Linked DNA regions of Struthio camelus. The protein of the gene in region 3 interacts with the protein of the main gene of each other region in a biochemical or structural test. Links are inferred from orthologs where the notes say so. Each region holds a gene or a part of one and is shown on either strand. Other genes may lie near its edges. The genes, in order: NKX3-1, TOPORS, TOP1 and SRSF1.

Region 1 (7,468 bases), on a different chromosome or scaffold from region 3:
TTTTGTTTTCCCAAGCTCAGGTGTTTGAACTGGAAAGGCTGTTTAAGCAGCAGAAATACCTCTCCGCTCCGGAAAGGGAACACCTCGCCAGCCTGCTCCAACTCACCTCCACGCAGGTGAAAATCTGGTTCCAGAACAGGCGCTACAAGTGCAAGAGGCAAAGGCAGGATAAGTCCCTGGAGCTGGCTGCCCAGCCGCCGCCGCCGCCGCGGAGGGTGGCCGTGCCGGTGCTGGTCCGGGACGGCAAACCCTGCCTGGGGGGCTCCCCGCCTTACTCGGCCCCGTACAGCGTGGCCGCCGGCCCTTACGCCTACAGCACCTACTACAGCACCTATAGCTGCAGCCCCTACGGCGCTAACTACGGCTACGCCGGGGGGCTGCCGGCACCCACCGACACGGCTCCCGCCAGCCGCGTCGCCAACACGAGCTTTGGGGTGGCCAGCGCAGCCCCAAACCAGCCCCCGCACTTGCAAGCCGTGGTGCAAGCGGGGATCAGGGCTTGGTAAGCGGCCGCGGGAGCCAGGATGGCGCCGCGGGAGCCGCCGCGGCACGGCTTTCCCCGGGAGGGGAGCAGTCCGGGGCCTCCGGGGGTTTCTGCCACCCGGGGCGGTCGGACGTGCCCTGCGTGTCCCCGCCGGGCCACGGCGGGTCGGGAGAGCGGGCCGCTCGCCTTCCTCACTGCGGCTTTGGGGACCGAACGACCGCAGGTGCTTATTTATTTGAGGACAACGGGCCCGGAGCCTGGCCCTTCCCGCTCCCACCGGGGTTTGCTCCTTGGGGACGCCAGCGGGCAGCGCTGGGAAAGCTGCTCTTCTTCTAAGGCGACCGGAAAACAGGGTCTGTGCGCATCACTGTGCCTTTGCTTTTTTAATGAACACTGTATTTAATGCTTAGAGTTTCTCTTTAATCTTCTGAGATATATTTCTGATTTATATTTCTTAATATCTTCCCAGCACCGATTTTCATTTTTGTTGATATTATTATTACTATTTACAATTAAAAAAAAAAAATTGGTGAAAATGTGCGTTTTCCCTCTCTCATCGCTCTTCAAAACCTAAGGTTTTGACTTTTCCCAGCCACAATTTGCATCTGAGTGCCAGAATCTGATCCAAAGCCAACACGGAAATCCATCTGAACACTAACAAATGACCCAGAAAGGATATTGCCCAGCGGTCCAAGCACTGCAGCTCCCAAAGTTTAACCTCTGTTGGTGAGTTCCCCCCTCTCTAAACCCTGGCAAGTCTTTTAAGGTCCCGGTTGCTATTTCCTTATTGGTAAAACAGCTCAATATCTGCTTAACAGCTGATCTGGGTGCCCCAGATCCGCATCTGGCTCTATAGGCATCAAGCCTTTTGATGGGTAAAAGGAATACATATACATTCTGTACACACACACATACGCACACATATGCACACACCCTTGTACGTGTAATGCTGAAGAGCCGCATGGCCTTGCACGGGGCGAGGGCTGGGGCTTCACAACCCCGACTTCTGCGCTGGCGTCGGGGCCGGGGAACGGGAGACGCGCTCCAGAGAGCCACCCTTGCCGTTTCGATTGTTTTGCAGAGAATTTTTTCAGGCGACTCTTCCCGTCGCAGCGTGGGCTTTGCCTTACCTTTCTTTTTTTTTTTTTATTAGTTCATATGCTTTTTGAAAGGAAAAACCCACTGCTCGAATGATTACTTTTCCTGCCCATCACAACGCCCAGGCAGGAACTAGGATCCCAGCAGCGTCACTGTTACTAAACCCCGACGCTTCCAGCCTCGCCGTGAGAGCAGCAGGGCAGGCACGGTCCTACAGGCCGCTTCTCCTGCCACGAGTTTGTGAGGCCTCTCTCAGAGCACCTGCAGCTGCCGGCGTTAGCGGGCGCTGCAGGAGGCATCAAAGGGGAGCACAGCCGATACCCTGCACAAGCGGGATGAATCCGTGAGTTACACTTGCTCAACTACCCTGTTAAGGCTATTTTGAGAGCTTGGCCACGAGGGGCTGCATTTCCCAAGGACTTTGGCCTGCACAGGGCGAATCGGAGCTGCTGCAGCCCATCGCGCCTTGCAGAAGCAGGACACGCTGAGGAGCCGCTGCCTCCTTCCTCGTCCCCCTCTCTTCCTGCCGCCTTCTTACCCTCCAGGAGAGGCTGGCAGGAGGCCACTGAGGTTTTACCGCACACGGCCCCATCACTCCAGCTTTCGCTCGCTTCCCCGACGGGCCGTACCTGACATCCAAACCAAAGGAGAGAAACCTGCTCGCGCCCCCGCCGCGGACGCCAAGGGAGAGCCAGCGCAGCCAGCAGCATTTCCAGCACCGGGGCTGAAGCGCGAGTTTAACAGCGCCGAGCACGCCCGGGTTTTTTTGCGTTGAGGTTCGACAGCAAAACGAGGCAAGAGCAAGAGGCTCCAGGCTTGTGCTGGAAAATAAGAAATTATTCTGCCCACATTAGAAATTACCCACTCTGCCAGCCACTACAAAACCGGGAAGATCTGTCCCAAACACGCCTCCCCCCCCCAAACCGGCCAACCTTTGCGTGGCCAGCCGCAGGGGGCTTGCACGAGGCGAGAAACGGCCGCGGAGGGGTGTTGCAGCAAGGGGCTGCAAGCGCAGCATCCCTGGCCACGGCCGGCCGCCAGAGCCCGTCCCGGACGCCTGCTACTGCTCACACCGAGGGCTGCAACGGGGCGAAAACGGGCCTGGCCGAAAAAGTGCCGTGCAGCCAGGCGCGAGGGGTCGAGCAGGCGGATAGGAGCGGCGCTAAGAGCTACGGCAAAGCTGTCGCTGCAAAGCCGCGGTGTAGCAGAGCAGCCCCGCGATACCCCGATGCCCCTGGAGAGGGGCAAACAGCCCAGCTGCAGGCACAGAAACCCTCCAGCTACGTCTTCTGCTCACACGCTTGTGCGGCTGCCTAAAAGCCCAAGTGCTCCGGCGCGCAGCGGGGGAGCGTGCACCGAGCTCCTAACGTCTGCGGCACCTGGGAAACAACCAAACGCCCCTACTGCACCTATTGCAACCTTCGTCCTCTCAGAGGTTGAAACAGCAACGGTGACGGCACGAAAGGACGGAGCTGAGCAAGGGGACAGAAGTAGCCGGCTCCGAAATGAGGCACAGAGCTCGCGCAGCGCTGCGCCCGCAAGGCACGGGGGCATCGGCCGCACGGTCCTGCCCGTGAGCCCTGAAGCATGGCTGACTTCGCTGCAGCTCCTGGTGCAGGTTGTGTCTTCTGGCCCTCTTTGCAAGGCAGCCGGTGGGCTTCGGAGGGTCTCGCTCCTTGCTTTGCCGGCGCTCGCCGGCTGGCTGTCAGCTCCGCTGCGACACAGGTAAGGATGCCTGCCAACGTCGCCTACGGGGCCCAGGGGGTGCTGCCGCGAGCGAACGCGCTTCCCGGGGGACACGGTCCCAGGGCCAAATCCTGCTCTGCCCGGGGGCGTCCCCCCCCGGCTCGCTTGGCCTCGCTTTGCCGTGATTTTTTTTTTTTTAAAAAATCACGTGCTGGACACGTTTGCGGATGTGGCTAGGGATTTTACGTGCAGAAGGGGAATTTGTCGTGAAAACAGAAACTCTAGGAGTCTGACGCATCGACGGCACGTAGAGCGCGGGTGCTGAGGAAGGGGCAGGCGCGACACAGAGGGGGCGACCGGGGCGGCGCGGTCCGGCCGTCCCCGTCCCGCTGGGCGCCCTGGAGCCCGGGGCCTCGCCGGGGCCGCGGCTTCTTACGCAAACGCTGTCCCAGGCTACAGGTGGCTGAGGTCTCGCGCTAAAATTATGCTTAATTTTTCATGCTAACGCCGCCGGGGGCCCCTTCCTGTGCAAGCGAGCGAGACCTCTGCCTCCGATCTGCTCTCCCGCTCCATCGTGCCTTAATCCGCATCCTGAAGCCCCTTCACAAAGATAGATGAGGGGGTCTTTAACATCTTTTTCTCCTTTTTTAAACAAACTGAAAGTTCAAAGTGAAAGTTTTGGAAGGAAACCCTCAAAACCTAGATAAGAAGAAGCTTTTTCCTCTTTTTTTTTTTTTTTTTAACCCTCTTAAAACTCAGCATTCCCACGGAGCTCTAGGGCCGGCCCGGAGGACACGCAGCACCTCCCCAGCTGGGAGCAGGCAGCGCGCGGCCGGCCCGGGCTGGAGGACGGCATCGTCCCGGGACGGGAACGCCGCCCCGGCGCCCCAAAACCCCGTCCGCAGCGATGCTCCGGCTGCCGGGAAGGAGGCAGCGGCTCAGGGTTATTCCAACCGCCGGCGCCGGGAGCGCGAAAGCTCCGGGGGGATCGGGAGGCGGCGGCGGTGGCTGGGATGCGCCGCGCTGCGGGGCCGGCCGCAGCATCCCGGGCAGCGGGAGAGCTCCCGGGAGCCGAGCCGGCGGCGCAGGGCGTAGGCTCCCGCCGGGATCTCCAATCAGGCCCGGGAGGCTTGGCTGCCGGCTGTATAAACGCGGCGCCGGGCGGGCGGGCGGCCAGAGCGCTCCGGGCAGGGCGAGGAGGAGGAGGAGGAAGAGGAGGATGAGCGCCGGGGTGCTGCCTCCAGGGAGGCCGGGAGCCCCCGGCAGTGCCGAGGCGGTGGGAGGCCAGCGGCACCCCGGGGACCCCAACCCGGCCCGGCGGCAGCCGGCAGCGGGGCCGAGCCCCACGCGGGGCCGGCAGACCATGCCCGTCCTCTCCAGGCCTCTGACATCCTTCCTCATCCAAGACATCCTGCGGGACGGAGCCGAGCGGCGGGAGCTGGACGAGAGCCAGGGCCGCGGCGGTGCCGGCGGCCGAGGGCTGGGGGAGCCGGGGGCGGCCGAGGGCCGCGAGCGCCGCTCGGCTCCCGGGGGTGCCGCCGGGGACCCCGGCCTGAGCCCTCGACCCGAGGCAGCGTCGCCGCCCCGCCAGCCCCACGCAGGTAAGGGCAGCAGCCTCGGCCGGGCCGCGAGCCAGCGTCGGCGGCGCGCAGCTCGCCGGAGGGGCGTAGCGTCGGGGCAGGATCCCAGCTGCGCCCAGCACCGAGCCCCGGAGCCAGACTACCGGGGCGTTCGAGGATATCCGTGCTTTAGCTGCGGGAAAGCAACCTGGGCATCAAAGACCATCCCCGCTTCCACCGTGGGAAACTCAGAGGAAGAGCAGCCGGGCGCGTAGCTTTAGCCAGGCTCTTCCAGTAGCGCCCGGTACCGATGCTGCCTAAAACTCTGCTGGAAAAAGCCCGCTCGAAGGATTTCTGTGCGATCTTGGCGGAACTTAGTTCCCTTTTAATTCAGACCCCCCCCGCCCCCGTCAAAGACGTAGCTTGTGCCTCAGCTTTTACGCCGCCTTCGGCGCGGCGATGCAGCCGCAGCGGGCGTGCGATGCCTCCGGTGCAGCCACGCTTTGAAGTTCTCCGTGTTGCATTTATGCCCTTTGCCGTGGGGCTGCTTTCCTGGGGGCTCAGCACCGCTCCCAGCACCCTGCACCTCGCCGTGTCCCTGCCCGTCACTGACACGAAGCCGCTCTGGCGTTTTTATTAATCTTTCTAGCATTGACCCGCTAAATTCACTGGTCAGAATAACATTTCGCTGCAGAACTCACATACCGAAAAAAATCACATGCAGAAGCAATTTGTTGAATGGTGCCTCTGGCGCACCAAGAGCCCAAGGGCAGAGGGAGCCCCGGGCAGGGGATCGGCGTTTCCCGTCCTGCAGCGCCCCGGGCGAGCGGGCCGGGTGCTGGGCTTGGACGGCCAAAAGCAACGCTGAGCTCTCCAGCGACCGCCTCGCGCTCGCTAGCGGAGACCTTGCCAGGGGAATTTTGGCTTTGCGTTTCGATGCTATTAAAAGAAGCTGCTGCACAGAGCAAATTCGGAAACATTCACCAGGCTGGTTATTAAGAAAAATCATTAAGCCCCCAAACCAGCTCTTGCAGAATGGAGCTGGTGCCGAGCAGCACCGCTCTGGGGATTTCAGCGGGACTGGGATGATTTACACAAGCTGGGAATTAAGCCCATTGTTTCTATCTTAGGCATTATGTTCACATCTTAAGAAAATATACTAAGAAATAACCAAAGAAGAACTTGGCCTATTTCCATAGCAAGCTGAGTAATACACCAACAGGAACTAACTCCATAAATAAATTGACTTAAAAAGTTTTGATAGTTGCAGGTGACACTTCCCAGGGGCAGGAAGAACACGTCCACTTGTATTTTTGATCCTCCAAGGCATCTTTCAGGCTATGGTTTTTTGGTAAAAAGAGCCCACAGCTGAGAAATGGAGGTGAGCCACTAGCTCTGCGGCGCTCTGCGCGAGCTGTGTGCGCTCAGCACCTTCCCGGATCACAGCTCGAGTGACTGAGCGATGCCGCGGGAAACAAGCCCGAGGCAAATCCCGGGCTGCTGCTTTGGCACTCCGGCTGTGGTCCGAGTCCAGCTCTGCGGCTGCGTACGATGCAGTCAAGCCGGTCCTGAAGATTTAGAAAGCCTCGAGACAGCGCCCCAAAACTTCCTGGCATTGCCGCGCGGTCGGGAACAAGAGGGAAGAGGGGAGTCGCTTTCAGTGCTTTCTAATTGCAGGCGGGTTTAAGCTGCACTGATTTTACGTTTCTGAGCTAGAGTTTAAGGAGAGGAACATACTTTTTTGTGGAGGCCGGGATCTTCCCGTAGGCACAGGCGAGGGGACTTTGCAAAGAAGTGCCCGGCATCGCGAGCTCTGCAGCAAAACCCCCAGAGCCGCCAATGCCGTAACAGTACCTGGGAGCGTCAGGCGGGCCTCACCCGCGTGGCAAAATGCCCCTCACTGCGTTTTTCTTTTTTTCCCCCACTAAATATTTACTTATATGAATTAAGAATCTATGATATTAGGGGGAAAAAAAGAAAAAAACCTTAGGCAACTTAATGCACTGCTCCACTAACTAAAAAGTGGCAATATGAATATTTTGTGCTTTTGGAGGGGGGAGGAAGAGTAATTTGGGCAACTTGCAGAGGGTAATTCTCACCTCTTTGCTGGGCAGCGGCGGCGGCGGAGGAGCCCTGCGCGTCGGAGCGCGAGAGCCCGCCGGGCGCCCCGCGCTGCCCTCCGCGGACCCCCCGGCAGCAGAAGCGCTCCCGCGCCGCCTTCTCCCACAGCCAGGTCGTCGAGCTGGAGCGGAAATTCAGCCACCAGAAGTACCTGTCGGCCCCGGAGCGCGCCCACCTGGCCCGGCACCTGCAGCTCACCGAGACCCAGGTGAAGATCTGGTTCCAGAACAGGAGGTACAAAACCAAGAGGAAAGAGCTGGCGGCCGAGCTGCGCGGACTGGCCAAGCCGCCGGCCGGCCCGCTGCCCCTCGCCGGCGCCTGCCGCTACCTCCCCTGCCTCTCCTACCTGAGCGCCTGCAGTCCCTCCTGGTGGTGAGCGCGGCCCCCTTGCCTCTTAAACAGTTTTTTTTTTTTTAATGCTGTGTTGCTTTTTCTCATACTAATTGGGGATGGGGGTGGGGGGTGGGAAAAAGGCGCTTCTGACTTGGTTCACAGCAACGCTCGGCGCCTAGCTGCCATG
Region 2 (7,631 bases), on a different chromosome or scaffold from region 3:
GTGCTCTGCTGTCCGGGCAGCAAGACCTGCGCTTTGCTCTGCCGTCGCTCCCACGCGGCTTTGCTGTCTGCCAGCACCTGCAGGGCTGTCTTTTCCTGCCGCTGCGAGAGACAAGCAGTGGCCAGGCCCAGGGAGCCCTCTTTGCCCTGGAGGGGCACCTAGGCACCAGCACGTGGGGTGCTGAGCGTGGCAGTGACAGACACAGCTGGCAGGCAGGCAGAGTTGGAAATGCCCTGCAAGCACCACGTCTGTGGGGTCTTGCAGTCAGCAGCTCCGTCTCCCCTTCAGGTGCCACCATCGATCTGCAGAGAACATCCAGCAGCTATGCGTGGGAAGAGAGTTGGCTCTGCAGGGCTTTTTGGTGCTTCTACTCTCCAAACCCTCCAGATACTATTTTGCAGGTATTGTAGCAGAAGTCATCCATGCTGCTTCAGTTCCTTCCTGGGCAGTGGGTGACAAAGCCCAGGGGATCTCCCCTCTGGCCAGCAGGGTTGCTCAAGGGCCTGGCGGTGATCAGGTTCCTGACACCAGAGGGTTGACTTGCTAGTCTCCCTCAGGAGCAGGACTCAACCGAACGGAACTGAGTGGCCGCATCCTGCCCACAATCCCTGGTCATAGCTGGCTGAGGGAGTTTCTCCTTCGAGGCCCATTTGCCTACCTCACCTCCGACAGGCCCTTTTCAGAGGGGCTGGGAGGTGGCGGAGGTGGCCTGCCTCGCTCCCTCACCATTCACTGCTGTGGCACTCTGCTTTCAGCCGGACGTTTCCCCGGGACAGTGCTGGCCTTTCCAAGGGTCGCAGGGCCAGGTGGTCATTTGGCTGCCTGCACGGATACAACCAACCGCCATCACCGTGCAGCACATCTACAAGGCAGTCTCTCCATCTGGGACCGTCAGCAGTGCCCCCCGGGATTTCACTGTCTCTGTAAGTCTCTGCTGGGCTGCAATGAGGCCGTGGGGAAAAGGCAGAGCAGGCACTCGCTTGTCTTGGGGCATCCGCTGGGGTTTGGGCCTTGCTCTCTCGTAAGCACTGCCCCAAGAGAATATTTCAAGGGACGGGGTGCTTTTCTCAAGACCTGCTCGGTGCTTTTTGGCCGTGCATCTCAGGGCAGTCAACCCCCCTCACGGAGGAGTCTCAGCTTCACACCATAACCTGTACTACACTACCGCTCGAGCCACGGGAGAGGGCCGGCGGGTAACAGGTCCGGATCCAGCGCGTGCGTTTCCCCGTCCTCAGGCGGAGCCTGACCCTTGTGCTTTGTCTCTCAGGGAGTGGACGAGGAGGGAGAAGAAGAAACTCTCCTTGGGACATTCACCTACGACGTGGGAAAAGAGGCCCTTCAGACCTTCCCCCTGAAGGTACAGTAAGTGCGTGTGGGCAGAGACCAGGCAGGAACGTGGCTGTGCCCGCACGTCCGTGGCAGAAAGAGCATCCACAGTTCCTCCCCGGGGGGCAGAGGGGCCAGACCCACAGCCGAGGCACAGCGGGGTCTGAAGGCGCACCAAGCAGTGCGCAGCGGTGGCAGCAAAACAAGAGCGAGGGCAGGGTCGCGCCCATGGGAGTGCAGGACCCTGGAGCTCCCAGGCTGCACCTGTGGCTTTCAGCAAAGCTGGTTGCACGCGGGGCCTTTCCATCAGCACGAAGCCTGCGTGCCGGACGGAAAGACAGACATCGGGCAGCGAAAGCCAGACGGCAGCTCCATCGAGCTGCGGCAGCACCTGGCAGCAGGGTGGACGGCTTCCCTGGGCTCTCGCTCCTGCCGGGAAGGCCAGCCGAGGAGGAACCGGCTGTTTGGAGGGGTTGATCACCCAGCTGCCCCACGTGCGGCAGCCCCGCACCAGCCTCTCTGCTAGCACACAGGAAGCAGCAGCGGGAAGGGGCAGCAGCAACGGGGACCGAGCCCAGCCAGGGCAGGCGGTGGCAGGCAGGACGCAGGCGCCTTCCCTCCGCAGCAGGACTTTCCCTGTGTTCCTGGCAGTCCTGCTGGCAGCCCGCCTCACACGGCCACAGCTGCTTTCACCCACTCTCGGAGGCCACGCACACGCCCAGAGCCGTCCTTTGCAGCCCTCGCTGCAGAGGGGAAGAGGGAGAGACAAGCTGTCCACCTCAACCAGGGCCACAGCTTGGCCCTTAACAGGGCCAGGGCTGGCAGAGGGAGGGCCCTGCGGTGTACTGTCCCTCTTTGCACCCCACTAACCACGTTTCTTCTTCCCACGACGTCTCTGCAGGAGGAGCTGTCCAGAGCCTTTCAATATATAAAGCTTTTTGTCCAGAGCAACTGGGGGAACCCGGAGTACACCTGCATTTATCGAGTGCAGGTGCACGGGAAGGTGGCAAGCCAGACCTCATCTCAGGAACCCAGAGACAGCCTGCGACCCCTCCTCAATAAGAATTAAAGACATGAACACAAGAACAGGCAGGCCCAGGCTAATGGCAGCGTCCAGCAGCACAGGAGCCCTGGGGGAAGGGCAGCCCCAAGGCAGCTCCCCGGCCCGGCCCGGCCCGGCCCGGCCCGGCCCGGCCCGGCCCGGGGTGCTGGCAGAGGCCGTGGTAGCGACAGGACCGGGGTACACAGCAAGGACCCAGGGTAAGAGCAAGGTGGGGAAGGGCAGGCAGGGGCCACCCCATGGTCCGGGGAAACAGCACGGCCCATAGTTTTACACAGCAGCCTGGGAGAGCAGCAGGGCAGGGGAAGACAGAAAAGCCGGGATAACGGCAGCCCCAGGGTCTCGGCAGACCCGGGGTAACAGCAGCCCCACCTAACAGCAACCCTAGTGTCAACGGCAGCTGTGCCCTAACGGCAGCCTCGCCAGCACCACGCTGATGGCGGCACCACCGTAAAGGCAGCTCTGTGTATCGGCCGCCCCCTCTCACAAAGCGCCACACTCTCCCGTGCAGTCAAATTCCCCGCGATTCCCAGCAAGCCTTGCCCAGCTCCTCCAGCTGCGCAAACTACAGCCAGAAGAGGGGCCGGACTTGGGGAGGAAAGGAGCACGTTTGTGCGGGGTGCGGGGAGCGGAGCACCTCTGCAAGGAGGTGCTCGGCACTGCTAGGCAGCTCTCCCAAAGCAAGAGCACGGGCGGTCGCTTCCCTTCGCCGCCCCCGCAGCCAAGGCAGAGGCTTCTCCCTCCGCAGAAGTGCGCACAGAGCGCGCCAGCGCCAGCGCCTGCGCTCCGCGGCAGCTGAAGCTTTCCCCTGTGGTTCGTGCTCTGCTGCTTGTGCTCGACACTCAGGGAAGCTGAAGTGCTGGTGGAAACCTGGCACTGCTGGTGCCAGCTGTGTACACGAGAGGACACTGGCCACGCTTTGTCCGACTGCACCTGGGCCAAGGCACTTCAGAGACCAGAGGAATCGCTCCAGCCACTTCTGAAGGAAGAACCTGGGGGGCATCGCTGCGGATGAAACCTTCATTTCCTCCTTCAGCAAAGCGATGCAGGATCTGCTCACATCCCAGCTAGCAATAAAGCTGGTTGACAGAAGACTCTCCATCCTCTTTCTTCCGACCCGGACACAACAGACGTCGCAGCCCTCTCAGGAATGCAGCACAGCCTAACCCTCCAGTCAAATTCCTCCTGCGGCTGTAGAACAGTCCTCTAAGTGACAGCCCTTACTGCTCCCCTCCGTGCTCCCGCACGCTCCTCGTCCCTGCTCAGTCCTAGAAAACACTCTCTTGGCTTTGGCCTTCAGGTGCAGTTTGTACTGGCTTCAGCACAGGCCACGAGCTCGGCACGCTTGGTGCCACGCCAACACCTCCTGAGCTCTTCTTGCTGCTCGGCCAACAGCCTGTGCGTCACCACCTCGCGGGACAGCTGTAGGAGGAGAGGCCGCGAATTAGCACAGCAGAGGCAGCATTCCCTGCGCACCAGCGGGCTGCTCTCTGGCCAGTCGTCCTCTGCACACACAGACAGAGGGACAGTTTGGGGAAAGGGAGCAGCCGCCCGCCAGGAAGGGAACGCTGGCAAACGCAGCAAAGGGAAGACGGGTGCCGCCGTACGCCGGCCAACGACAGCTGCCCGTGTTTGGCCAGGCCGCAAAGGCCGTGCAGACCCCGAAGACCCCTCGCGCGTGTCTCCAGCGGGCAGGCACGGCGCTGGAACCCCCCGCAGCCGCCTCCTCGGGGCCGAGGCAGCCTAAGGGGCCTCTCTCGGCCTCTGCCGCGGCGGCCCAGCGCGGCCGGTCCTGCTGCTGCCCGCGCGGCCCCGGCGCTCAGGCGCGGCGCAGACAGCTGCTGCACCAAGCGGCCTCGCTCCGCCGCGTCCCGCCGGGCAGCGGGGGCGCGAAGACGCCCAGTCCCTGATCCCGGCCGCTGGCAAGCGACGCCAAGCGGGAGCCCCGGCCCGGCCCGGCCCCCGCCGCTCCCGCCCGCCGACAAGATGTCGGCGCCGGCGGCCCCCGCGCGCCGGAAGTGACGCTGCCGCGGCGGCGCCCGTCTTCCGGCCCGGGGCTGCGCAGCGCCCGGCGCTGCCTCGCTGGCGGCGGGGTCCCCGGGGCAACGCGCTGCCGCCGCCGCCGCCGCCGCCGCCCATGTCCGAGCCGCGGCGCCGCCTGGGCGAGAGCGGCCGCCGCCGCCACCCCGCGGGGGACCCGCGCCGGGAGGCTGCCGGCCACTGCCCGCGGCGCCAGCGGCTGAATGCGGCGGCCGCGGCTGCGGCCCGGGGCCCGCGGCGGCGGGCGGCCGAGGAGGCCCCGGCGGCGGTGAGTGCGGCCGGGCCGGGCCGGGCCGGACCGGACCGGGGGTTGGCGCGCGGGGCGCTGCGGTCGGCGGGGGGAGGCGGGGAGGTGCGAATCCGTCTCTTTGGGACAGGTGTGCCGCGGGATCCCTTGTTAATGAGAACGTTGTTGGGAAAGAATGAGGAAACCGTCGCTGAAGTGTGAGGAGGGAGGGAGAGGGAGTCCTGCCTGGAGTCTTCGGAAATGCCGGCATGTTTCAAGTCCCAGTAAAAACTTGCAGCGCTTTAGATTCTGGTTGTGGTGGCAGAGGGAGGGAGGCCTGGAATTGCTTCCGTATTTTAAAAATTATCTGTTGATATGTGCATGAGTTAAATCGCAGCAATTCATGTATTAGTTTCAATTGGCAAGAATATCTTCATGGTTTCCACAAAAATCATAATTTGCTGTAACAGTACAGACTAAAGAACTTAGTGCAGGCATGCTGCTAGTGATCTTTTGTATGTATTTCGGGGGCTGCTTTATCTGACTGTCTACTTCTACCTACCAACCATAAATCTTACTAAGTGTGTCTGTTGCTTTTCCTGTTCATTTTTGATGCATCTTACTCTGTAGAGACCTTCCAGCAGAATAGAATACTCCAGCGCTGACTGCCAGGAGAACTGCCCCAAAGATACAGTGCCAGTCAGTTACCCATGTGCTTCATCCCTGAAGAGCTTTGTAGACAGAGTCTGCAGCAAAGAAAGAGCAAAACAGTACAGTGGGGAAAAGGTGTCATTAGTAAAAGAAGAATGTAGAGTTGAAAAGCAAAACAGTGGGCCTTTCTAAATGAGAAGAACAAACACCAGTGTCAGGACTGAATGTCTAAGAATGGGAAGAATATCAGTGTTTTGGGGGCCAGTACTGATCAGTTGCTGAGGTTTCTGGTATGTCCACCTCCATAAGTTAATAGCTATTTTAGGAGCGCTGAATACCTGGTAGCACAGGCTTCTGCCTTCCTCTAAAAGAGGTGGTGGTGCAAATGAGAACTTCCACTGAAAAACAGAGAGGACAGTTGTGCTCTTGCTAGGGAAGATAGCTTAGTTTTCTTCAATGGGCAGAGCAGGATTTCTAGAACTGCAGTTCCTAAGCCTGGTCAATTTTCAGGGTCATGCCTTCTTCTCTCTATCTTGGGAAAAAATTTAACCGTGACATCTAACTTCTTGAGGGAAGCAGTAGCCTGAGGAGAGGCCAGAAAAAGTAGTTATATCATTGTGGTTTTTTGTTTGACACCATATCGACCTTATGTTTTTTACAAACTAAAAGAAGGATAGCAGAGGTTTCTTTGTCTAGATATTCACATCCTTTCCTCTCAGGAAGGTAATGATCTTTTTGTGTTTGTCTTTTGTAGAACATGACTTCAGCAGAGTTTGCAGTGGATAGCAACTTTTCACCGAAAGCTAGCACAAGCAAGCTGCATCAGACAGTGCCAACAGATGCATCTCCTGACTCTAAATGCCCGATCTGTTTGGATAGATTCGACAATGTTGCGTATCTAGATCGTTGCTTGCATAAGTTTTGTTTCCGTTGTGTCCAGGAGTGGTCAAAAAACAAAGCAGAATGCCCACTCTGCAAACAACCTTTTCATTCTATTTTCCATACAGTTCGTGCTGAGGATGACTTTAAAGAGTACATACTCCGACCATCAGAAAATGGCTCTTTTGCCAGTCCTGATGGCCGGAGATTTCGTTATCGTACTACGTTGACAAGGGAACGTCGCACCTCATCTTACCATCGACACACTTCCTCTTCCCGAAGGACGCTGTCCCCTCCAGATAATGGAATATTGTTTGAAGGGTTATCAAGCCAACCAGTGCGGCAGAGAGATGGAGAGATTCAGCAGATGATAAGGAGGCTCGCCTCAAGGAGGCAGGCTAGTGCAGAAGGCAGATCTCTGCGGCAGATTCAGGAGGAGGACATGATCAACTTCCGCAGAGCTCTGTATCGCACTGGTGTGCGTGTTCGTAGTATTCAGGATGGTGGCCGCTATCGAGATATTTCAGCAGAGTTTTTTCGCCGGAACCCTGCTTGCCTTCACAGGTTGGTTCCCTGGTTGAAGCGGGAACTTACAGTCCTATTTGGTGCCCACGGATCTTTAGTTAATATTGTACAGCATATCATCATGAGTAATGTGACAAGGTATGATCTGGAAAGCCAGGCCTTTGCTGATGATTTAAAGCCGTTTTTGCTGAATCGGACTGAACATTTCCTACATGAATTTGTCAGTTTTGCCCGGTGTCCTTTTAATTTAGAGGCGTATGATCAGCATGCCAATTATGACTGTCCTGCTCCATCGTACGATGAAGGAAGCCACTCAGACTCATCAATTATTACAATATCTCCGGATGAAGCAGATTCTCAAGGTCCAGATCACAGTTCATCCGTGACTGGTATTGATCAAGCTCCGTGGGATGATGAAACTCCAGGGCCCTCATATTCCATCTCAGAAGAGGTTCATGCAACCATAGCTTCTCCTTTGGAGACTTCAGAAAGTTCTGATGAGGACTCTGCAACAAAGAGAACTGCAGTGCAAACCCAGATACAGGCTAATGCTGGTTCCAATGACAGTGACTCTTCTTCAGACAATTGTGTTATTGTTGGGTATGTTAAGCCTATAGCTGAGAGGACACCAGAACTGGTTGAGTTGTCTTCGGACTCTGAGGAATCAGTCAAGGAAGAGAAAAGGGAAAATATCAAGAAACAGCAGCCAATCCAGTTTCACAGTTGCAGTGACAGTGAACAAAGCCCGAGTTCCTCACCACACTCTCCTATGTATAACGAGAACCTAGGTAGCTGTAAAAGCTGCTCATCCCCTGCAGCCGAGAAGATGGAGTCAAAAGAGGATGAGGACAAAAGTAAAATAAAAAATTTATCTCCACAGGAATTGATCTGGAGCCCCTCTTCAGGAAGGGACAGGATGTGCTC
Region 3 (8,113 bases):
CTCCAAATACAGGACATTTCTCAATGCAGTAAAACTAGGAGGACTGGCTGAAGCAAGGTGCTGCTTACAGGTTTCTTGCTGCTTCCTCAAGCAGGAGAATAGCTTCTATTTGCTAATAGAAGGGAGGCAATGTGGCATAGGGGAATATAGGTACATGACTGTATTCCATGTAAGGCAATAGTCATATAGCAAGGTACATGTTCCTATGTATGTTAACTGGCTCAGTGAGAAAATGCATGTTATTTACTCCTTAGAAAATGATCCAAAAGTTCTTCTTTTAATCCCCTTTTTATACTGCATACCAACCTTTGCAACACTCCTGGCTTCATTAACCTCAGCAAATGATGGCACCAAACACAACCTTTCTCACAATACAGCACAACTGATACAGCTAGTATTTTCTAACTAATAATTTCTGGGATTTTTGCAAGCTTCTCCCTTTGCAGGTGAAACTCAGTAATTAAGACTGACCTTTGAAAGCTACCACTCACAATGATATCTGCTGCTTCTGCTTAATTTGCTCCCCTGTTGCACATATAAAACTGTGAATAATTGCTATGGTTTATTAAAGCAGAAAATAAAAAGCCCTCAAACCACTGAGATCATCCTGTTTCAAAACATTCAACAGCACATAATAGGTATGAACGTTTTGAGCAAGTTATCCTAATAAAAAATGAGGGGAGTCAGATATCTGCCTGTTCCTATTTTGTACAAGTGTCACTCTGATCTAGTGATAACAGGTCTTCAGGATTATACTGATCTGGAATCCTGCACATCAAGCAGGTCTCTCTGGTTGTGGAAAAATTGTAGACTAGTAATATAGGTATCCTAACTAAAGCTTTTATAAATGATGAATTAGGACTCAAAAATCATGACAGCATCTTAAAAATGAGATTTTGGGGGGTTTAAATGTCTCGTAACTGTTCTTTCACTACATCCTCAGCTGGTAGAAAGCACTGCTTTCGTATTCAGAAGAACCATAAAACATGAAGGTTAGAAACCTGTTGCTGCCTCTAAATAAATGTTGAGATTATTATGAAACAACATCAAGGAAAACAAAACAAGCAAATTTGGACATCCTGGGACTGCTAATAACATCAGAGGAGTTGGCAGCATTGTGTCTCTTCCTGCCCTCTGAATGAGGGTCAAAGACCTGAACTTCTGATAATGGAATCAAAAGTAACAAATAACTGTATATAATCACAAACTTGCTTTGCATTGAAACTTACTTTGTTATGTAATGCATTTTAAGTTGAATATAAAAGGGAATTAATACAAGCAACATTGCAAACAGCTTCTCATGTGGCTAAAGGCAAGGTAATGGTTCCGAAAGAGGGCTACAGAGGGTCCAGGGTTTTGGATGTATAGATTTCATGTCCTGCATGGATCCTAGAGCCTCACTTTTTGTATTTACTTTCAGCTTCTTAGCCCTGAAACAGCAGAGTCTGAGCTAGTTCCTACCTGCTCCAGTGTTCCTGGCTGGGGCTGGCAAGTGACCTACTCTGAGTAGTAAACTGTTGTCGAATAGCCCCACTTGCACCCATCTCCATCCCAAGGCCTAGCAAAGGTGACAGGCCGAAACTGCCGCCCCATATCCTGCATGGAAAGCTGGCGAGTGAACAACCCAGAAGTACAGGCAAGCCTCGACCCAGCTGAGTTGCTCTGGTCTGAGGCGCCAAGGTTGCCCTGGAGCCCGTGCCCTCTGATGCCCAGGGCGGGCGGGCAGGCAGGAGCCCCACTTCTGCTGCGTTCACGGGGGGCGGTGCCCACCCTGCAGCCAAAGCCCAGTGCAGCCTTTGAGGTGACCTTTGGTAAACCCTTTGCAGATGCCCTTGAAAGCCAGGGATCCAACCACAGAGCGAAGGACACGAGTTTGGGGAAGCTGTTTGTCTCCTGAAGTCACTGCTCCAGCTTTTAGAAAGAAGCACTGCAGAAGTGGAGGCTGCAACCACAGTGCAGCCACAAGCCTGGTCCGGCAAGGGGATTTCCTGCACTTACAGATCTCTTCTGCGCGCAGCGTGGGGACACAGGCTGGAGCTCAAGTAGGATTCTACCCTGATTCACTGTGTCGGCTGCAAAGCTGGTCAGGAGAAAGGCACCCGCCTCCCTCTCCCCAAATGGGCACCCTGAGTCTGTTCACAGCAAGAAGCCCCAAGTTCACCAAATCAATCAAATCTCACAGTTCGCCAGAACTGGAGGGTTTCCTGCAGATTTTATATTCAGGATGATTTATGATTTAATTTAAACATGTAGTTTCCAGACGTTTCTTTTTGCAAGCAATCACCTAGGCTACATTAACCTGATGGTGATGTACTGCCATCCCAGGGAGCCCTCAGAGAGAGCGAGCCAGACAACAGCACTCAGAGGTGTGAACTTCCCCCATTTATCTTCATGGGGTGTGCAGTCTTGCCAGGGAAGCAAGCCTAATCATGTTAACCCCCTCACTGCCAGCCTCTGCCACTGAAAGGCCCAGCTATATGGCAGTATGTCCTGTATGGGCCTTTTCCCTCCTTTGCTTGGATCGTTCCTAGCAACAACAGACGCAAGCTTCGCATGAAGCGGGTGTAAACAGTCCGTGGGGGGTTTGCGGTTACGCTCATCAAGATGAGCTACAGATTCCTGGAACGCCACAGTGCAGGTTGCAGGTTTGCAGAGTGTCTTGAAAGCTTTTTTTCCCTCCCTCCATACAGTTTGTTGCAACAGATGCAGCCACAGAAGTGTTACAGTTGAATACACCTTTGAACAAGTTATAAATTCTCCCTGCATCCCATGGGAGACAGAAGACAAAAAGCAGCAGATGGGAAATGATCCTTGGGAGACTCTTGCATCTGGTTTGGATATGGTCATCTCTGCCTAAGGTTTGCTTCATCCTATGTGCAGTATTCACAACAGTGGCACAAGGTTTTTCTTGTCACCACATGGGAATGGTCCTTATTAGGGCCAGAGCTAACAACCTGGGAAGGTCCCTATTGCATTCAGAGCTGTGGTATCTGGCTGTCAGCTGTCTCTCACAGAAAATGCAGCTCTGAGCCTCCTGTGCCACTTGAGGGGTTTCCCTTTTGCAACCAGAAGGGTGTTTGCAAGTGCCTCTGAAGATGGCAGCTGCTCAAAAAGATAGTGATCCTTTCCTCTGAACAGGGCTAGTTGCAGCTGCAGAGCAGTGCAGCTGGTCCTTCCCTTGTGAGAGAGCAAGGACACCTGAGCAAGGCTTCTCGGGGAAGATGCAAAATGAAGTTGCTGCTTCAAGAGAAAGGGCTTTTAGGAATTTCTAATGCCCAGAGCTCGAGGTACCAGACCATTCCCAAGCTGTCCCACATCAGAGGACACAACTGCTCGCTGGTTTCCCTTACACCTCTGCGTGGCAGCAAGGATGGACGAGCACCTTAGGCTGCTCCAAAAGCAGAGACCCCTTCTCTTTTTGCAAGCTAGGGACAAACAGGAGAGGTGTCTCTTAAACAGCCTTTTCATTATGTTTATACTTAAAAATCTTACGGTGACTAAAGCAGTTTGCATAATAAACAGCTCTAGAGCCAGAAATACTTGCCTGCCCTCAGTAAAAAAAGGAAGTCCTCAGATCCTCTTCTGAAGACAGCAAGAAAGTGACAGAGTTTTCCCTTTACAGGATATAAATATGCAGTGCAAATAGGTGGCTGCTGTCGCTGCTTACATTTTGATGTATCGCTTCTGATAGCCTGGCAGTGCTGGATTATTTTAGTGTCAAATCAAAGCCCTGGTTGTATAAAGAAGCCGGGGAAAGGTAAAGCCTGTGCTGCAGCACTGGATGGAAGCTCCAAGAAGACTGGAGGCAGTCCTGTGAGACATGTACCAGCCGTGCATACTAAACCTGCCATTCAGCACACCAGAGAGAAAGCCCCTTTAGTAGACCTGCTGCAGACCTGAAATAGACGTCTTCAGATTTGGGGCTGCGGAGGGCATTTTGGTTTGTTTTTGTAGTGAGGCACATGATTCATTCTCATATTAGCTAAAAGAAAAGAAAGCGTTTGTTTTGTTTTTCCCCTCAGTTTCCTCATGAGAGAAAACATTTAAGGGGCTGTTTACATAAGAAGAAAAATCTTGCTGACTGATTCTTTTTTAAAGCAGAAAGCTGCCATTTGCACCACACCGTTGCTCACTGTCCTTGCCTTTAATCTCAGCTCAAATCCACCCTGTCTGCATGCCTGCTCAGCGTCATTTTTATCTGGACACAGGACACCTGTACAGCACCTAGCACACAGTAATCTTTTTATGGCTACCGCGGCCTCCGAGTTCCACCCCGATACAAACGCGTAGTCAGACTAATAATGAAAGGTCAGCCTCACGCTTAGCCTCTCTACAGGGCAGATGCGCACAGCAAGCACAGCTCGCTTCCTGCCAAAAGGAACTGACAGCCGTCTCATTTTGAAACGCTCAAACTCAAACCACACACATCAGACCACTTATGCTCCCGCAGGGTTTGCAGGAGCGTGCCGTGGACGGGCTGGCGGAGTTCCTCCCGCGGAGGACCGGACTAAGAGACAGGCCAGCCAGGCCCCAAAAGCCATCGGCGGCGCTTCCAGAGGGAAGACGCACACCGCGCGGAGCCGCCCGGCCGGGACGACGCCTTGGGCGTGTGCGCAGGCCGCAGCCGCCGCGCCGGGCGCGGGCTGGGCCGGCGGGAGCGGAGCCGGGAGCCCAAACCGGCCCCGGCGGCAGAGCCGCGGCCTGCCAGGCCTGGCGAGGCGCAGGGCAGGCCCCACGCCGCCCCCGAGGACATCCAGCCACCGGGCGCTGTAACGGGAGTCCCGCGAGGCCCGGCAGGGCGCTCGCGCTGTAACGGCGTCGGTCACCGGGGGCGCTGCGGAGGGGAAGGGCTCCCTCGGCCCGCGGGGCGGCCGCCGGCCCGCTCCCCTCCTCCTGCCGCCAGGGCGCCGCCATCTCCCCCGGTCGACCCCCCCAGGGGCGGGGCCTGCGCCGCGAGGGGCGGGGCGTCGTATGCAAATAGAGCGCGGCTGCCCGCAGGGTGCCACGGGGGGCGCACGCGCATTCCGCGCTCAGTGGGGAACGGGTCCTTACACAATGCGCCGGGTTCCCTCAACGGTGTTGGAGGGGGCGCGAAGCAGCGGGGCGGGGTCGGGTATGCAAATGTTGCTTGCTTCCGTCGCGCGATTGGAAGGGCGGGAGGAAGAGGCGGGACCGGATATGTAAAGAGAGAGCCGGCGTTCAGCGCGCGCGCGCGCGTGGGAGGGGGGGAGGAGGGCAGTGGGGCGGGGCCTGCGTATGCAAATGTAGCCGGCGTCTCGCGCGCGCGGTGGGGCGTGGCTCGGGTGCAAACGCCCGGGCGGCCGTTTCCCGGCTCCCGCCCCAACGCTCTCGCTAACGTTCCCGTGGCCACGCCCCGCCGCTAAAAGGCGCCGCGCCTGCGCAGTGCGCGGAAATAAGGACTTAGTCTGTTACACAACCGGCGGCGGGGCCAGGGGGCTGCGCTCTCCCGTCGCGTTCAGGCTCCGCGCTTCCCCGGCGGCTCGGCTCTCCTCTCCGCTGCGCTCCGCTAGGCCTCCGGCGCCTTCCGGCATGAGCGGCGACCATCTGCACAACGACTCCCAGGTGAGAGCGCCCTCCGCCCCGGCGGGGAGCCCCGCTCCCCGGGGGCGCCCTGCCGCGGGGCCCTTCGCTCCCCTCAGGGTCGGCGCGGCGGGCCCGGCTGGAGCCCTCCCCTCCCCCTCCCACCGCCTTGCCCTCAGCCGGGCGGCGCTGCCCTCCTGCCGCCCCTCAGCCGGGGCCCCCCCGCGGCCCCGGGGAGAGCCCTGTCAAGCCGGGCTGCCCCCGCCGTGGCGGGGCGCCGCCGCCGTTTGTGCCCAGGCGGAGGTGGGGTGGGGGAAGGGACTCGTGAGCGGCCCCCTGCCGGCAGGAGGGGAGGGGGCTGGCGGGGGCACCCCGGAGCCGTGCGGGTGCCGGGGGGCAGCTTCCTGCCGCCCGCCGCGGAGGGCACTCGTGCGGCGGGCTGGTTATTTCTCGCTTGTTGTCCACTTTTCCTAAAAATGAGAATTAAGCGGGTGGGGAGGGGGGAGAGAAACCCCCGCGCGCCCCTTCTTCCCCCTAAAGTGGGGGGGGGAAAAAAACCCGTGCCGGGACGGTGTTTTCACGGTGTGTCTCCCTGTCTCCCCTCTCCCGCAGATCGAGGCGGATTTCCGAGCGAACGGTGAGTGAGGCCGCGCCGGCCGCGCACAGACATGGCGTCCCAGAGACTAAGTCCCGGCTCCTCGCTCACCGGCCCCATTGTTCCCATCGAGCCGCCCAAAGCGCCCCTTTGCCGGGGGCCTCGGCCCCCCCCGGCCCCCTCTTCCCCTAGAGGGGGCTGCGGAGGCCCCCGATCCGCGCCCATCGGCCCTCCCGGGGGTCCCTTTGGGCCCCGTTCCTCCCTGGAAAGTCGCCTTGTCGACGGTCGGGACTTAGTCTCTGCGCCATTTTCTTTTTCTCCTCTCTGCTGTGTGGCTTTCTCTGCTTCTCCTCCTCCCTGAGCTGCCGAAAAGGAGCCTCCCGCAGAGGAACCCGGCACCGATCCCCGGCCCACGGCCCCTTCTGAGCAGGCACAAAAGCAAAGTTTTTAGCTAAAATAAACCCCCGAGCTGGTTTTTATCGCAGCCTCCCTCTCCCCCCCCTCTACTGCTCCCCTGCTCTGTTCCTTTCAGGGAATCCCTCCCTTCCCCTAAAATGAAAGGTGATTGCAACATGTTGCTCTTTAAAAGATTCTGCTGCATCCATTTTAAGATCACTCTTATTTCATTCCTTGCTGTTTAATTGATGTAACTTTACATTTTGGGGTGGGGCTTTTTAATTAAAAAAAAGCAAAGATTAAAAAAAGATAATATAGACAATTCCAGAAAGGTAGACAGCATCACTTCAGAAAGTTTGCAAGTTGACTCTTTGTTTTGGTTAGAAAGGTTATATACATACACATATGTGTGTCTATATGTATACATAATTATGTTTTTTAAGAAGCTTGACAGCTACCGACTTTTTTTTTTTTTTTGAGTGTTGCTGCATTTTTCCAGGAAGCAAATTCTTTTCCCCCCAGCCTGGTACATGGCAGATTTGGGGGGAGGAGGAGGTAAAAACCTACCTTTGCATGCGTGTGTTATTGTCCTACTGATGGGGTTGTCTGAGGAGCTCAGAGCTGTCCCCTAACTGTTGAGGTGGTAGAGGACAAAAAGGTTTGAAGAGAAGATACCTTAGCTTGGCTAAATGCATTCTTACAGCAATACTGATTTTCAGCACACCTTTCTGCACAATGTCTGTGTGCCTGGTTGCTTTGCAAGCTACTGCACGTAAATATTTACAGATCCCTGTTTGTGTGCTCCTCTCTTTCTCTTATCCATTCATTGATGTGATTGTGTATGTACAATAGGAGCATGCGGTTTCAAATCTATAGCTTTTAAACTTTTCTTTCTACTCTGAAGCTACAGTAGGGCTCTATGAATAATCCTTAGCAGAAGAAAGGGAGGAAGTGGAGTTCCCTGAAAATGCAGTAGGAATTCTTGAAACAACTTAAATGCAAGCATGTATTTGAATACTTGTAGCCTTATGCTGGGAAATATTTGCCAAAGGGTCACTGCTATTTCGGGAAAAGTAACCCCTGAAAAGCTTCAACTACTTACTGGTTTAAACAGGGGAAGTGATGCTTGTTCAACTATTCCATTCCAACTTCTAGTGAACATCTTAGGAGGGTTTTTTTCTCCTTCATTATAACTATATGCTGCTTTATTCTTAGGACGGTTTTAGGCATACAGCGCTTAAAACTCCTTCAATTCTGACTTCTACTATGTGTTGGAGGAAGTCATTACACAGATGTAAAGTAAGACATCTAGATGGAAAAAGTGTGTTACTGGTGAATCAAACACACCGAACAAGTTCATACCAGTTTAGGTATCAGCGCTCTTTTCTTCCTATTGTATTTGCCCATTGAATTTATTTTTATGGCTGTCATGAAACATCATTGTGGCTGATCAGAGGCTCCTAAAATCCAAAATCCTCTTCAGTGATGAAAGCTGTGTGTAACCCTTTTAGTTTTGTAAGGGAATAATGATGAGTAGACACTGTCCTCTCTGACCTTGGGCCAAGACTGATATTCCTGAAA
Region 4 (7,702 bases), on a different chromosome or scaffold from region 3:
TACGTTTTCTATTTTTGCTTTCATTCTGATACTTTAAAAAAAAATGAAATAGCAACGCTGTATCAGTCACACAGAGGACATGCAGATTTTAGCAGTATTGATATTATACTCTATCTGATTTGAAGGTACCCTTTATCTACAAGTGTACAAATACTACATAACATTAACACTTGTAACCAAATGCTGCATGACAAAGTAAACCAGTACTCCCACCCCGTCCCGGTTTATTCCTTTAAAAAACTAGAATGGAATAGAGAATTACAAAAGCAAGTATTTAGCCACAATTGCCAAAAAAGTTTTAAAGAAAAGAGCAATTGTAGTCTGCGGGAACTAAAACATGCCTGAAGAAGTGACAAGTAGGTGCATGTACTCAATTAACCTGTCTCTCAGTATAAGGTCAATACTGCCAATTTCATCTGTGACAATAGCACTTGGAGTCATACCATTGCCTCCATTATTGATCTGATCCTCCTCAATCCTCCTTTTGACAATCCTAAAATGATTGACATGTGCTCCACAATCCTTTAATCCAAAGCATTCTTAATCCATCTCTTCAGATATGTCTACAGAAAGACACACGAAAAGGCAAGATAAAATATAAGATCCCCCAGAAGAGACAAGTTAGCCACAAACATCCCAACATCCCCAGCTTGTATAAACCATAGCCGAACACTGAGACATTTACACAGCAATACCACAGTTTGAAGAATGTTGGTAGTTAACTATAACTAAATTGAAACAATCCTGACTGACATCAATTAAAATACAATTTACCAAAGACATGAGGGGAATGTTGATGTTAAGGAGCAAATACTCACTAGGGATTTTACACAAGAATGCAATTCAACACTTCAGCCAATTTGAATAAAACAGTTTGAATTAAAAAATGAAAGACTGTACTGAGTAAAGGAAAACTGTGTACAACACGGGGTTCTACAAAAAGATCATTGCTAGTGATCATTTATGTACGAGAACGGGATCTGCTGTGACGGGGAGAGTAGCGTGGAGATCCTCTGCTTCTTCTTGGGGAATAACTGCGGCTTCTGCTGTTGCTTCGACTACGGCTTCTGCTACGACTACGGCTGCGTGACCGAGATCTTCCATAGCTTGGACTTCTTGGACCATCAACTTTAACACGGATGTAGGCAGTTTCTCCCTATTGAATAGACAGAACTTTCGATTGAAGGGTCTAGGCTTTACGGCCATCTTTTTAGGCATGCTGACAGACTGAAGATATTGTTTACCAAAGCACAGAAATAGACATCAAGTCTTTAAAGTCTATTTTACGACAAACTGACTACGGGCTTAGCTTACATGCTTTGCGTATTAGTACAATGGCAACCACACATCCTTACCTTCAAATCCTATCGTTAAGCCCTTTGTATCCAATTCTGGCCCAAAAATAAGCATGAAACCTACCTCATGAGATCTAAATTTAGTGTTATCCAGTTTTCGCACAGCGTAGGTCATATCTTCCTTCCGTACAAACTCCACGACACCAGTGCCATCTCGGAAAACATCAGCATAACATACATCACCTGCTTCACGCATGTGATCCTTTAAATCCTGCCAACTTCCACTTGGAGGCAGCCCTGAATAAAAGGCAATACATTACTTGAAAAATGAACTACATTATCATACAGTATTAGATATTAGATACAATAGCATGCCACAACAGGTGAGACAAACTATTCAGTAAGGAGAAAGGCTGCCTTGAGAAGCTGTGAACACTGCTTCCAGAATACCCGAGGGGGATGCTTTTTAAGGGGGGGAAAAAGCTGCAGGAACGGCATGGCTCCGCACGGAAACCAGGCGCTGCGAAGCCGCCTCGAGGACCCCCGGGGGAAACGCGTTAACTAGAGAAAGAGAGAAAGGACTCACCCGAGACGATCACTCTGTACTCCGAGCGCCGGGACGGGGGGCCATACCTGCCCCGGGGGGCGCCACCCCCTCCGCCGCCGCCACCGCCTCTGCCGGTGCCCCGGCCGCTCCGAGGGAACTCCACGCGGAGGCGATACCCATCGTAATCGTAGCCGTCCCGCCCGTAGACGGCGTCCTCCGCGTCCCTGCGGGCCGGGACGGGCGGTGAGCGCCGACCGCAGCGCGCCCAACCCGCCGCGCCCTGCCCACGCACCGCCCCCCCCCGCCTTTGTTCCCGCTTCCCGCCGGCCCCACCCCGCCCTCCCCCCGCGCGGGCCGCGGCCGCCCCACGGAGCGGGGGGAGAGCACGGGGGAGGCCGTTAGGGCTCCGGCGGGTGCCCCGGATCGCTGGGGCGGCTGTGGGGGGGGGGGGTCGGGAAACGTCGCGGTTCTCCCTTCCCCAGCAGGCCGCGGGTGGGCACACGCGGGGGGCCCCCCACCCCCCCTACCCCAACGGCAGGGCCGGCGGGGGCCTCACCTGGGGTCCTCGAACTCCACGAAGGCGAAGGGCGGCCCGCCGCGGCGGTTCTTGAGGTCGATGTCGCGGATGGCGCCGTACTTGTAGAACACGTCCTCGATGTCCTTGGTGCGGATGTCGGGGGGCAGGTTCCCCACGTAGATGCGGCAGTCGTTGTTGCCGGCTGGGCCGCGAATCACGCCCCCTCCGGACATGGCAAGGTCAGCAATGGCTGCGGCGGTGGAGAGCCGGAGCTCAGCGAGCGGACGGGTCGGCGAGCGCGGGGGCCGAGCCGGGCACACGGGAGCGCACACACGCCGCCTCCCCCAACAACCGCTTCAAAATGGCGACCACGGCTTCCCTCGCGGTCCTACTGCGCGCAGCGATTTCACCCCGGGACGCAGCACCGCCTTTACCACCACAAGTGCGGCCGAGCCCGCGTCTCCCGCCGCCGCGCTCCCACCCCGCCCTCCTGCGCATGCGCGGCAGGAAAAAGTAGTCCCGCTATTTTTTTTTTTTTTTTGGCTCTCGGCGATTACAGCTAAGAAGCCGGGCCAGTCCCGGCAGCGCAGCTCCCGGTGGGAGGGCTGCGGCGAGCTAAATCCTTCCTCAGGGAGCCCCGGCTCCCCGCGTTTGGGGCAAGAGCCCCTTCAACGGCCGCGCTTATCACGGCGGCAGGCCGGTGGCGTCACATCCGGTGCGGAGTCCACGCAAAGAAGGCCCGGCTGGGGGCAGGGGAGGGGCCCGTCCCACAGTGCACCGCGCGGGGAGCGGCGGGGGCGCTTGGCGCCAAGGCGCGGGCTGTGTCCCACAATGCACAGCGGCGGCCGGGGTGGGGGGCGGCGGGGCGCGGCGCAGCGGCGGTGGGGAGGCCGCGGGCCTCGGCGGGGCCGCGCCGGGCCTGGCCTGGCCTCCCGGCCGCGGGGAGCGGGGCTGGGGGTGCCCCGGCCCGGGGGGTCCAGCCAGGGGGGTCTTGCCGGCGGGGCTGAGCGGCGCTTGCCCGAGGGGCAGAGCGCTGCGCTGCCCCGAGGTAAAATGGCCGCCCCGAGGCAGTGCAGGAGGCCTGCCGGGGATGAGGAGCGGGGCTGGGCCCGGCCCGGCTGCAGCCCTCGGCCCTGAGAGCACCGTCCTCACCGGTCCTGGGGAGGGGGAATCCAGTCAGAACTTGGGGTTCAGTCAGCTTGGGGCTGATTTTTTTCTTTCTTTCTTTCTTTCTTTTTTTTTTTTTTACTAACTGGTCCCTGCAGCCTTCCCCTTTCTAAATTCGACATTCTTCAGAGTGCCCACTGATTGCTATCCTGTTCTGGAAGGACAGCTGCCTCTTAAGAATCAGCCATCAAAGCCCCAGTGTTATAAGTTTGAGGATCAAAGCAAGAGGGACAAAACAGACCTTAAAAGATGTGCCTGACTTTGTAGTCTGCATGAATTTTAAAAAGCGAAGGAGCCAAAAAAGCATTTGGGAGACAGGGAACTGTAGGTCTCAAATGAGGATGCTTTGAGATTATGATGCATGAGAAATGCATGCAAGGGAGGGCAGAAAATAAAGTCCTATAGAAGAAGCAAGAAAAAAATGTATAGCACTATTATGTTCCTGTGATTGTCATGCACGTAAAGTCGTTTTTAAAGACCAATATATTCTAGTATGTCACAAAGTCCTGAAAGAGCTATTAAAGCAGTGGGTGTTACTGTTCAGCGTACAAACTGCTGCTTACTAGGGAGGATGGGAGGAGATGACCCAAACTTCAGTTTAAAAACATAATACTGTTTTGGCCAGCAGTCCCTCCTTGATGTTTAAGGCTGTGTTGGCATGCAGGTTTTCGGAAGGCTGCAGATAAAATGACGTGAAATCTCAAGCCTCCATTTCAAAAGTACCTTAGAAAATGTGTCCGGTTCTCAAAGGTATTGCGTCTCACTCTTGTTAAGAGTGTGTCCAAGAATATAAACTGAGGAAGGTGTTACTGCTGGAGGAGGCCATCACTTTCTGGCGAGTAGCTGTGGGCACAGTCTTTCTCCTGGGTCAAGCGAACTAGCGCACCCTCAGTAAACAGTGCACGTTTCTGTGCGTTGCGTAGGGCGTAGAGCGTGCATGCAAACCCTTACAGCGCAGCAGCTGTTCCCTGGTACGTTCCCACCTCGCCATAACCCACCCTGACTTTTTGTTTTGCCCACGCTTCGCTGCTCGGAGTTCACATCACAAACTGCTTTTGAAACGAGATTCTTCGTTTGGTCTACACGCTGTATCAGGTGTGGGAGGGAGACCTAAAAAGCAGCTGAGATAGTTGTACTGTTACAAACGCTAGGCTGCGTGTCCCTTATTTATCTTTCTGTAGTATCTTCCATAACAGCTCAAGCAAGTCCACATGGTGCAGGGAAGGTTGTATCACTGTAACTACAGTGGTAGGGTTAAAATAGTATGTGAATATGCAGAAAAACCCTTTAGGCTCCTGAGTTAATTAGGGGATTTTGAAAAATGTGTCATGCCTCTTTAGTAGTGTCTGTCATGCATACTTCATTTTTCATGTACTAATTGCAAATGCATATTCCTCTAGAAAACAGCGGTCCTAATGACTTAGAAAAATATTTCCAGTATGATGTTGTAATGCGTTTGACTATTATGAATGCCTTTCATTTCTCTCTCATGTAGGTTAAAGTACAGTAATATGTTCTACTCTAATGATTTTTAACATTGGTAATAACTACGTTAGATTGCTAGTGGTTTAGATAAAAGACTGCTATTAATCACTGAAAGATGTTAAAAGAAAGCCCATCTTCAGAAGCGGTGGTTTCTCTGAGTGTAAACTACCCACTATCTGGACATTTTCTACATCTTTACAGAATATTACCGTTTCACAACTCTACCAGAATATGAACTGATGAAGCAGTGACTGTAGTACCCATGTGGTTCTAGGCCACGTACGTAAGTTCACTGGGTACTCTTGGTAAATACATCTTTTGAACCAGCATAACTTGACAAGCTAATTTAGTCATTTACCAAATCAGTAGAAATACTTAATGCATACTTAAAAAAATTCCCCCCCCCAAACTGAGAATATACTCTTTCCAGGTATAGAGACAAGAAATTAGTCTTTATTTTCAAAAGCTTATTAAATTGCTGAAAGTTACTCTGTAAGGCATCATAAAATAGTAGTAAGTCTGCCTGGTTTGCTAAAACCCTATTGCATAATTTCTTTTGTGTGTTAATCATCCTCATAACTACTTTAAATCATTGCCTTAATTACCATAATGAAGTGTCTCTTTATAGAATTATTGATTATTTTCTTCCTCATTGCATTTTTAGCTTTGTGTTACCAACAGATAGCTTTAAAACAGTTGGATAAGCTGCAAAACATGTTTGCTTTGTCAGAGTCACTTTTGGCTTTCTGGCAAAGTGTGCTTGTGGAGAATCATTAAACGTTATTAATTATGTAGAAAATAAATTACCAGGAGGGGAATGGCAAATAATCTTGTAAAAAAACGGACTACTGTGGAATAACAGGCTTTAGTTTTCAAAATGAGAGTAATGTAAAGCATGGCTTTCAATTTGAGCATATTGATCAGTAAAGCAAATATTAACCGTGTAACCCAGTATCAGGAGTATCTGCACGTACCTAGCTTGCCAGATAGAGGTACGCTACAGTACGATTTGTTATAATTGCTTCTTAGTCTGCTGTAGGCCCTCTCGTATACAGAAAGAAAAATAGCACGTTTGCTTTAGCTCTTTCTGCCGTTCTCACAGCTTTCCTTTCTCTCTCCCTCGTTCTCAGAAGTCTTCCCATTGTGTTAACATGCACTCTCACTCTTTTTCGCATAACCGTGCCAATGCCTGAGGTGGGTCTTTTTATGCAAAATACTAAAACGCTTTATAATGGGGTCATTATTCATTGTCATGTGCGGTGAAGCCGAGGCGTCGGAAGCAGAGCGATTTTCCCAAGACCACCTAAGAGAGCTAGCGACAGAGCAGGGAACACAGCTCGCGGCCCCGAGCGTAGGCGGCGCCTGACCGCTTCGGTAGCAGTTCGGAGTGGCCGGTTTCGTGACCTTCGCAGCTTCTCTTGCTATGTCAGTGAGAACCTGTTTTTCCTAAGTCACTGGCAGCCTCCTTAGTACTGTCAGGTCCAGCTGGGATTAGTCTTGAGTAATCTTACTTTGTTGTAAAATAAGTTTATCAAAGCTCAGATACTGAAATGCATGGATCCTGTCTTTGGAGCTTGAAATATAAAGTTAATATTTGGAGGGGCCTTCAATTTTAAACAGTGCCGAATGATTTCATTGTCATCAGTGTTATTAATTTGCATGTGCAAAAAAGTTTCAAAAACATATTAGTTGATTTTGTCCGTGATTTCTCGTCAATGGATGTTCATTGGTACATAAAAATGTTATTGAGGAAAAGTTTTCTTTATACTGGTTAAAAATACTCTATTGAATGGGAGCGTGCAGAGTGTGAAAATGATTATTCAGACTGCTGTTCTGGTGCATATACACAGTAGTACTTGGGATAGATACCTCGGGAAGAAAATCTAATTTGGACTACTTGTAAGATTTATTTAAAGTATAGTTTTTCAAGATTTTTTTCATGTTTCTTTGCATAGAACAGGGCAGAGCTGGTAACATGGAGCAGTTCTGTGGGATTTTGAGATCTCATCTTCTTGAGACTCAAGTATTTCCCCAAAGTGACAATGCTTAGTGTTTGGCAGGATTTATTTTCTTTTTTTGAGAGTATAGGTCACTAGTTTTCCACAGCAATGTTGGTAAGAACGTGAGTAGGGTCCACTAGTCTTTCATGCCAAGATCTGTGGTGTAGGGGGGCATAGAAGGATGGCAGTAGTGTTTTCCAGTGGAATAAAAGGAGTGCTCTGAAATGAAAGATTAAATGGGACCTTGAGGAGTCTATTTTCTGCCCAAGTAGATTTTAATAAGAGTGGCTCATTATTTGAAACGAGGAGAGGGGGCCAAAACCTCCCCTTATTTTGGAGAATGCAAGTGGTTAAAACATCAGACTACATTTTGCATTTTTTACTTTTATTGGAGAGAACCTAAGTAGCTATTTCGGAAGTGAGAGAAACTGAAGGAGTTATTTATTGTTCAGACAAAATTTGAGTATCTTGGTAAGATAATGAAAATATGTGCAGGTTTGAAAATATTTCCCCTAAATGTGGATGATGGTAGAGCTCATTTTATTTATTTAGGTTCATACATAAGGTAAAAAAGTGCACAAGCACGTGGCTTGCGATATCACGATGCATTTCGACTGTGTGAATTGTTGCTGAAAGCCAGCCTGAAAGAACAAACGTAGGTACAGAGACTTAAACAAGAAAAGCCAGCCCA

What was found.
Region 1: the proteins of TOP1 (region 3) and NKX3-1 form a complex in vitro, tested with the Homo sapiens proteins (2 studies listed by BioGRID and IntAct). The link is inferred for Struthio camelus from reciprocal best matches to the Homo sapiens genes TOP1 and NKX3-1.
Region 2: of the proteins of TOP1 (region 3) and TOPORS, one has a biochemical effect on the other in vitro, tested with the Homo sapiens proteins (2 studies listed by BioGRID). The link is inferred for Struthio camelus from reciprocal best matches to the Homo sapiens genes TOP1 and TOPORS.
Region 4: the proteins of TOP1 (region 3) and SRSF1 form a complex in vitro, tested with the Homo sapiens proteins (2 studies listed by BioGRID, with this or other methods). The link is inferred for Struthio camelus from reciprocal best matches to the Homo sapiens genes TOP1 and SRSF1.

Annotation. Positions count from the first base shown.
Region 1 is NC_090968.1:5,038,076-5,045,543, forward strand, and holds the start of NKX3-1 (homeobox protein Nkx-3.1), read left to right. Parts: upstream 1-4,460; 5' UTR 4,461-4,487; coding exon 4,488-4,869; intron 4,870-6,941; coding exon 6,942-7,324; 3' UTR 7,325-7,468. Other genes in the region: NKX2-6 (homeobox protein Nkx-2.6), read left to right, coding at 1-506.
Region 2 is NC_090982.1:18,068,677-18,076,307, forward strand, and holds the start of TOPORS (E3 ubiquitin-protein ligase Topors), read left to right. Parts: upstream 1-4,592; 5' UTR 4,593-4,694; intron 4,695-6,057; 5' UTR 6,058-6,060; coding exon 6,061-7,631. Other genes in the region: sperm-associated antigen 4 protein-like, read left to right, coding at 289-401, 756-923, 1,268-1,357, 2,228-2,395. UniProt on the Homo sapiens protein: Functions as an E3 ubiquitin-protein ligase and as an E3 SUMO1-protein ligase. Probable tumor suppressor involved in cell growth, cell proliferation and apoptosis that regulates p53/TP53 stability through ubiquitin-dependent degradation.
Region 3 is NC_090959.1:7,165,942-7,174,054, forward strand, and holds the start of TOP1 (DNA topoisomerase 1), read left to right. Parts: upstream 1-5,023; 5' UTR 5,024-5,550; coding exon 5,551-5,583; intron 5,584-6,153; coding exon 6,154-6,178; intron 6,179-8,113. UniProt on the Homo sapiens protein: Releases the supercoiling and torsional tension of DNA introduced during the DNA replication and transcription by transiently cleaving and rejoining one strand of the DNA duplex.
Region 4 is NC_090957.1:20,532,622-20,540,323, reverse strand, and holds the start of SRSF1 (serine/arginine-rich splicing factor 1), read right to left. Parts: upstream 3,100-7,702; 5' UTR 2,593-3,099; coding exon 2,399-2,592; intron 2,067-2,398; coding exon 1,882-2,066; intron 1,593-1,881; coding exon 1,420-1,592; intron 1,157-1,419; coding exon 962-1,156; 3' UTR 1-961. UniProt on the Homo sapiens protein: Plays a role in preventing exon skipping, ensuring the accuracy of splicing and regulating alternative splicing.